Cricetulus griseus: one gene and its partner. The protein of the gene in region 2 purifies or fractionates together with the protein of the main gene of each other region. This does not show direct contact. Links are inferred from orthologs where the notes say so. Each region holds a gene or a part of one and is shown on either strand. Other genes may lie near its edges.

Region 1 (4,260 bases), on a different chromosome or scaffold from region 2:
CCAGGTAATAACCGGACAGGATTAATTAGCTGGCAGCTCTCCCACCCCTGGGTCTAGGGCAGGGAAGGACTAGGGATGATGGAGACCATAGTGGAGAAAATTGCTAAGCTGATGTAAAGAGGCAGGGGCATGTGGTTCTATTGGGAAGTAGAGGGTGGGATAGGATTGGCACAACCAGGTCTCCAGCAAGGGAGGGCATGGGTCAGGCCACTCATAAAGGTCAGAGAGGGGATTAGGAGGCTCCATGACTAATCCAAAGACTTAACCAAGTCCTGGCTCTGAATCCTCCCGACCTGTGCAGCCCAGGGACACAAATGAGGACAAGACCTGGAAGTCACATCAGCCCCATTATGGGCCTATGATTTACAAATATGCCAGAGTCCCCATCACAGACAGGACCCTCACTGCTTTTCCTGCAAAACAGAAAGGATTCTGGGAGGGGGAGGCGATTAAGAAGGGCAGGACTTTGAGGACTGAAAAGCTGGGTGGAAGGAGGACCTAACCACAGAGACCTGGAGTGCTGCCAAGAGAGTCAGTGCACATTCTGGAGGCAGAGGCAGACAGATCTCTGTGAGTTCGAGACCAGCCTGGTCTACAAGAGCGAGTGCCTGTGACAGGCTCCAAAGCCAAGAGAAGCCCTGTCTCGAAAAACCAAAAAAAAAAAAAAAAAAAAAAAAAAAAAAAAAAAAAAAAAGATTCTGAGGGAAGAGGATGTCTTGGGCAAATATCTGGGGAAGGCGGGATTTTAGGAGGAGGAAGCTAAGACGAGCGTTTAGGAGAGAGGAAGAGCCTGAAAGAGAGAAAGCACCAGGAGGGTAGATCCAGGGTATTTGTGGTCCCCAATACATTTGGAAGGGATAATGCCTTTATTTTACCATCCTTTGACTGAGGAGACTGAGGTGTGGAGGAAAGTCACGTGAGGTGGTACGGAAAGAGTTCAGAGACAGCCACTGCCTGAGACAGAAGTACCCTGAGGAAGAAGGCAAAGACAGGACTGTGCGGCTCCCAGTTGCTTGGCAACCGCCGCGGTCAAAAGCTAGCGTGGAGGGCCAGGAGGTGTGGTCCCAGGAAACACCTCAAGGTTGAGACTCCGCCCTTGACAACAAGACTAATCAAATACCACCCCCTAACAACGAATTTCTGAAAAGGTTAGGCCGTCTTAGTCTGGCTCGTGCGCAGGCGCAATCCTCCCTGCTCCACGAATCCCCACCTCCTGCTCCCTCCTTTTTGAGTTTTCTTATTGGAGGATAAAGCTGCCAGGGATTTTCCTTTGTTTCGGGGGCGGGACCAAGCCCCTGGACGCACTTCGATTGGTCACTCTAACAGTCTATCGCTAGCTGTACGTGCCTGCAACCGCTTCTTGTGTGTCTATTGGTCCTGGAAATGATCCTGTGGTTTCGGGGGCGGAGCAGTCTGGGAGACCCGCAGCCGATTGGGTGGTGTCAAAGCGAGGGGCGGGCCCCAGCGGCCGGGCGGTTGGGCCGTGAAGGGAGAGTCTTTTCGGCGCTGAGGACTGGCGCTGAGGAGGCGGCGGTGGCTCCTGGGGCGTTTGAGCGGGCTCACTCGAGCCCGCGGGCCGACGCGGACTCAGGCCCAGCCGGCGGAACCGCCCCGGACTCCCCGCGGGCTTTTCTAGCCGCCATGGAGGACGGTGTCTACGGTAGGCCAGGCGAGGCGGGAGGGCGGAGTGGCTCCCAAGCCCCGCCAAGGACAGCCGAGCGGTGGTAGCGAGGCGCTCTTGTGCGCGCGGAACGGGCTTCCGGCGCGACCGAGAGCCGGGGGTCCCGGCCATTGTTTGGGCCGAGCCCTCTTCCGGCGGCGGCGGGCGGGGCGGGGCGGGGGGGCGGGGCGGAGCGACAAGAGCGGGGCGGGGCGGGGCGGGACGTACACCCGCGCGAGCCGCTGCCTTTCTTGCTGCGAACCTTGGTTCTGTGACCTCCCTACCGATCCTGACCCCGGTCGTGATGCCATGGCTTGTCTTCACTGAGCACCCAAGATTCAGACCACAGATCCAGGAGCCAGAACCTCGGTTCCTTTCCAAGAAAGGCACCCAGGATTCAGGACCCCAACTCTCCCACTATTGTGGAGCCAGGGATCAGGCCTCCTTACAAGAAATGTATCCAAGCTCCATGCCAGGGTCCCCACCGTGGTGGACCCAGGAACCAGAGTATTGGTGTTTTTCCAAGAAATGCACCCAAGGTCCAGGATCCCAGGTCATCAGCCATGATGGAGGGACCTGTTACCTTCCAAGAAATACACCCAGGATCTGGGGCCCCAGATCCCTTGCGATGATGGAGCCATGAGCCCAAGGCCCTGTGTCCTTCCAAGTAATGTTTTCAATATCCAAGCCTCCCGTTCTACTGTGATGGAACCAAGGAACCAGGGCATCCAAGTAAAACATCTAAAGTAACATCCCAAGAGTTCCTCATTGTGGTGATGGGTCCAGGAGCCCAGGGACTGGTTCCTTTCCAAGTAATACACCCAAGATTTAGGTCCACACTTTCATGATGAAGGCAGGGCTCCATCTTTCCAAGTAATGGGCCCAGAAGTTCATCCCCAGACCTATTAAGAGATGAGATTCCCAGGCACTTCTGCCCCAGACTAAGGGTTCAGAGTCTTACTCCCTCTTCCCTAAGAGTTGTAGTAGCCATTTCTCTTCTGGACAGGAATCCAGGCTCTTAGCCTTAATCTTGGCCCCCCCAGAACTCATTTCCTGACCCTGACTCCTAGAGCCCCCAGACTTGACTCCGGAGGAGCGCATGGAGCTAGAGAACATCCGACGGCGTAAGCAGGAGCTGCTGGTGGAGATCCAGCGCCTGCGAGAGGAGCTGAGTGAAGCTATGAGTGAGGTGGAGGGTCTGGAGGCCAATGAGGGCAGGTGAGGACTGTGGCGAGCTCGTGGGACACAGGGCTTGGCCAGGGCCCTGGATGCTCAAGTGTTGACCTTTGGCTGCTGCCCATCCTGCTTTTGCAGTAAGACCTTGCAGCGGAACCGGAAGATGGCAATGGGCAGGAAGAAGTTCAACATGGACCCCAAGAAGGTTAGTTAGCTGAGCAGATATATTCAGGCATGGTTTTGATATCCTAGGTTCTAGAAGTGTTAAGATAATAGGTTTCCTCTAGGCAAGACTCCTGATCCCTGTCCATCTGTTCCATGAATGTTCATGTACTGAGGCCTCTGGGAGCCCGGTCCTGTGCTGGGCAATGCTGGGAATGCTAAGACCCTGCCTTACTCTGAGGGATCCCCCTAGGTGTAAGTGCTACAGTTCAAGGTGAGATATGGCAGTAAGGGAGGGGTGCTGTGTTTACAGCTTGATGGGTAGGTATCTGCTTCTTTTTTTATACAGTGTATCATGTATTCAATTATTCTTCAAACCTGTTCCAGCTATACATGCCGGAATCAGTTAGGCAGAGGTTGAGAGGATGGGCTAGGGATGACCATGCTCTGTTAGGGTGGAGAGGCTTGGATGGGGAGCAGCAGCCTCTGCCTTGGCATAAATCTGGCATCCTCCATCCAGGGGATCCAATTCTTGGTAGAACACGAACTTCTGCAGAACACACCTGAGGAAATTGCCCGCTTCCTGTACAAGGGTGAGGGGCTGAACAAGACAGCCATTGGGGATTACCTCGGGGAAAGGTGAGCTGCCCAGCCTGTACAGTAGTACTCCCAGCCTCAATAGGAGTTCATGGGTAGAGCAGGTTTGTGGCCTCCACCTGGGTCATGATATAGTGGACTGACTGGCTCTGAGGGAGCTTGAAACTAGAGGGAGATGGACCTGTAGTCATCCAGTAAACAAGGACACTGTTGAAGTCTGAGTGTCACTGGCTTAACCACGCATATACAAGCTAGCATATGGAAAGTATTGTCTGGAAGTTTTTATCATGGGTCAGAGCTGCAAGTGTTTGGAGACCTGTGGACATGTGATTGCATAGCAACTGGGAACTAGCTATGAATTCTTAGACAAAGGTCAGTTCTGAGATAAAGGCATCTGGGAAGCGTGAGAGCAGTTGCAAGATGACATCAGGTGGTCTGTGTACTCAAAGATCTGACAAGCTACAAGAACAAGGTTCATCTGCAGGAGGGTGGCATAGTAAATGAGATGATACTGCTATGGCTCCTGTCACTCCTCCTGATGGGACTCTCTCTCTTCCCTCCTCCAGGGAAGAGCTAAACCTATCTGTGCTCCATGCTTTTGTGGATTTGCATGAGTTCACCGACCTTAATCTGGTGCAGGCCCTGCGGTGAGAATGGGACAGAAA
Region 2 (3,956 bases):
TTAGTCCCTGCTCTTTCGGGCTCAGTCAGCTGGCATGGGGAGCTTAGCTGACAGTAGTAGCACCCCATTCTGCTCGGCAGGGATGCAGTCTCCCCTCCCCTCCTCTCTGCACCACACCCCTGCAGCCCTTGTGCTCTGTGGAGGCAGCAGGATAAGTTCCAGACAGAAACTCTGAAGGACTTTTGGACTCTTGCTCAATGGGCTGACTCAGTGAGGAGGTGGCTGGTGGCCTCTGCTTCCAGACCTCCGCCTGGGCTCCACCCACCCCTCCCCACCCCTGCCCTAGCCAACAGCTGCCAGCCCTGGCCAGCTGGGATCCCACTGAGGATGTGGGTTTGAGAAAGAGATAAGGGGTGGTCACAGGTGTTTGGGTGGGTGGTGTGCTGGGCTGTACCTACACCACCAAAGTGCTATGCAGTCATAGGGAGGCAGAGAAGCTGGTGTTTTCCTTTCTATCTTTGGTAACTTCTAGTCTGCTGTTGCTTCTATCAGCTTCCAGCAACTCAAAGACCCCTCTCTCCTCCTAGCTGTGGAGTATAGAGCAACCCAATAGACCCTTCCCTCCTAGCTGTGACGTATATAGTCTGCAGGTTAACTCCTCCTCAGGAAGTCTCCTAGGTATACTGGTGGCTTGGGATTCAGGACAACTCTCTGTCATGGAGTTGCTTCCTTGACCTTCAAGTGAAGGACCAGGTCCAGACAGCAAGGTCCCCTGGTCCTTGGGTCCCAGACCAGGCTTGGCTTTGTGCTCACTGTCCAGCCATTTCTTGCAGTGCCCTTAGCAAGTGGGACAGTAGGCCATGCCTCACGCCTCCTGTGCTCTCAAGGTGAGGATGGCTATACGTATCTCATGAAGACATCTTGTCATCTCCTTCCTTTGCCATTGTGTCCCATCTTCCTGCCTTTTCATCTTCTCCTTATTCTTTTTCTTGTTCTTGTTCAGCCACCAGTTCAGTCAACCCTTTCAGACCTAGAGAACTTTGTGATGGAGACCTAGTTGGGGGGAGGGGGAGCCAGGCTGTACCCTCAGAAAACCTCTCGCCCCAGATGATCCAGAAACACAATCCTTACTTCCATTCCCCCACCCTCAAGCATCAAACCACAGGAGGCTTCAGAGTGTTTTTGTTGTTATTTTCTCTTCAAAGCTGGGAAAACTCCAGGCATCCTACACATCCTGGCCCAGGCTGGGACTGGAGCAGCCCCTTCTTCCTCTGTGCCCCCTCCCCCCAGAAATTCATCATGGAGAGTAAGGATGAGGTCAGTGACACCGACAGTGGCATCATCCTTCAGTCTGGTGAGTGATCTAGGAAATTCCCCTGTGCTGGTCCCTGACTCCAGACTGAGTCCCTAGGCCCTGGGCTAGTGAAGCTAAAATTCCCAAAGGGCTGGGGAAGGAGAGGGTGGAGAGAGAGGGTTATGTTGGGGAAGTGGGGGCACTGGAAGGTCTGGCACCTCAAAGAACTGCAGTTTTCCTTGCTGGAAGGCACTAGCCAGGCGTTTCTGCCCTATCTGGAGTGGAGATCTGCTGTGTCCAACTTGAGCTGCAGCAATTACTAAGAAGTTGAAAACTCTTATCTAGTTAGTGTGTTAATGTCCTGTCTCTCTACTAGCCTGTGGGTCTAGTCTGGCCTGGCTTTGAGAGAGGAAAAAGATAGGAGAGGGGAAGACACAGTTCTGACCATGAGTCCCTCCCCCAGACGGGTCCCCTGGTAGGACGGACAGCTCTCTCTTTGCACTATAATGTTACCAACCTTTGGGCAGCCAGGAGACATGATGTTTTGTGTTTGTGACACAGACCATAACAGCTAGCCTGTAATTTGTGGGCAAGCATGAGACTGTAGGCGTGTGTACACTCCTAGAGGTCATTAACAGTATCCTAGGGATGCCTTGCTTCAGTTTTCATGAGCAAGTGCCCCTTGTCTTCCTGCAGGCCCGGACAGCCCTGTTTCACCAATGAAGGAGCTGACCAATGCTGTGCGCAAGCAGCAGAGGGCCCTGGAAGCGAAGCTGGAAGCCTGCTTGGAGGAACTGCGTAGGCTCTGCCTAAGGGAGGCGGTGAGGCCCCTGGAGCTCCTGCCCCGACAAACTTAGGGTTTATCTGAGGAACTATGTTTTGGGATATTGAGGCCAAGGGGAAAGCTACATTTTTGAGGGGATTGGAAATCAGATTGAGGTCTAGACCTAGAGTCTCCCTTATGTGGGTTTGACATGGACACTGGGTAGAGGGAAATTAGACCTGGCAGGGGTCCAAGTACCGAAAAGGAAGAGATGAGGGACTGAGAGGGGCCAAGGAGCTGCAAGCGCATTTGATAATTATACCTTGGGTCAGGGTAGCCCTTGGGAGGAAGTGACCAGAGGGAATGGGAAGGCAAAAGGGAAAGAGCAGAGAGCACGCTTCAAGAATGGGAATAAGAAGACAACTGTGGCATGGTGGGATGAGGTGGGCAAGAGCACAAGTTGCCCATTGGTTCCAAAGGGCCATGCAGTGTAGAATAGGACTGCAAGTTTAAATGGTTGGATAAGGGTTGAGCAAGTGGAGGGGGCCCTGCCTTGACGCTGCCTCCCCTCCCCCCAGGAGCTGACTGGTACTTTGCCTGCAGAGTATCCCCTTAAGCCAGGTGAGAAGGCACCCAAGGTCCGGCGCAGGATTGGAGCAGCATACAAGCTGGATGAGTGGGCCCTGCACAGAGAGGTGAGGAGTGTCAGAGGTGATAGTCACTGTGTCTCATCCCCAGAGACAAACTAGGGAAGCAGTCCAGTTCCCTGGCAATCTCTACCATCCAATGTGGTGCTGACTGTGTTAATCCAGGGCTTCTCCTCATGGGTAGCCCAGATGGCTCTGAGTAAGCCTGCCACCTCAGCAGCTGGAGAGCTGGGAGCTCAAGGGAAAACACTGGGCTTGGCCTAGTGGGCAGAGGATTAAGAATACTAATAACCACCTCAAAGAAGCGGTGGCCAGGGAGGTTGGTGTAGCATGAGGGCCTGTACTTTTTCAGCCTAGGTGGAAGGAGGTGGGGTAGCTCTGGCTCTAGGCAGCCTTTACCTCAGAGAAATTCCCATGGGTTGATGTGCTTGGTTCTTTGGGATCAGGGAGGAAAGTGTCCCACTTAAGTCCTCTCCCAGCCCTGCACAGCAGGTAGCTGGGGTGGGACTCTCATGCTGACTTTTCATAATGACAAGTTGGCTTTGAGCCCCTCCCACTGCTCCACCCTTTGTTGTGTGTCCCCGGACACTGCTGCCTGCTCACCACCTGGTCAAGGCTGCCTGGAGTCTTCTGTTCCCCCGGCGCCAAGGACTCTTCTTGGCCCTCACTCCCAATCCCTCCCTCAGGACCCCCTGAGCAGCCTGGAGCGCCAGTTCGCTCTGCAGCTTCAGATCACGGAAGCGGCTCACAGGTTGTGTGCAGAGGAGAACCTCAGCAGACAGGTGCGCAGGCAGCGGAAACATGCTGCACTACAAGAGGAGAAAAAGCTCAGGGAGCTGGAGCGCTGCCTGGGTGATCGGCGGCGGAACAGCGAACCCCCTCCCACCACTGTGCCCTCCATGGGCAGAGGTGAGCCCACTGTCCTGAGCTGTGCAGGCCTCACACAGCGCGGCGCTGTACTCCCTTTTGCCGTATGCTTTCGGCTATTGCCTGTGTTAACGTTTCACATTAGCGCCATCAGGGTACTCCTTCCTGGGTCCACACAGACTCCGTCCTTACCCCCATGTACCCCACCAAAAGCATCTCCACCCTGGGAGACCTTCTCCACCCCAATTCCTCCTCCTGCATCTCCCACGTAGTACCCTACTTTTATAAGACTTTATAGAGAGGAGGCGTTTCTCTGCTTGATCACGATCCAAGGGTTTATTCAACCTGGAATACTATCTTCAGGGTAAAGTGCAGTAACCCAAAGGTGATGCTCTCTCCTCTAGCTTGAGTTAGGGATTGACTATTGCTATGGGTAGCCGATCAC

Evidence for each region.
Region 1: the proteins of Inava (region 2) and Cyth2 purify together in Homo sapiens (co-immunoprecipitation; 3 studies listed by BioGRID and IntAct, counting the BioPlex papers as one, with this or other methods). This does not show direct contact. The link is inferred for Cricetulus griseus from reciprocal best matches to the Homo sapiens genes INAVA and CYTH2.

Annotation. Positions count from the first base shown.
Region 1 is NC_048599.1:154,708,120-154,712,379, reverse strand, and holds the start of Cyth2 (cytohesin-2), read left to right. Parts: upstream 1-1,450; 5' UTR 1,451-1,641; coding exon 1,642-1,660; intron 1,661-1,879; exon of another isoform or gene 1,880-2,730; coding exon 2,731-2,878; intron 2,879-2,974; coding exon 2,975-3,041; intron 3,042-3,518; coding exon 3,519-3,637; intron 3,638-4,161; coding exon 4,162-4,242; intron 4,243-4,260. UniProt on the Homo sapiens protein: Acts as a guanine-nucleotide exchange factor (GEF). Promotes guanine-nucleotide exchange on ARF1, ARF3 and ARF6. Activates ARF factors through replacement of GDP with GTP.
Region 2 is NC_048598.1:53,042,413-53,046,368, forward strand, and holds the start of Inava (innate immunity activator protein), read left to right. Parts: upstream 1-1,153; 5' UTR 1,154-1,239; coding exon 1,240-1,294; intron 1,295-1,930; coding exon 1,931-2,055; intron 2,056-2,575; coding exon 2,576-2,692; intron 2,693-3,330; coding exon 3,331-3,553; intron 3,554-3,956. UniProt on the Homo sapiens protein: Expressed in peripheral macrophages and intestinal myeloid-derived cells, is required for optimal PRR (pattern recognition receptor)-induced signaling, cytokine secretion, and bacterial clearance.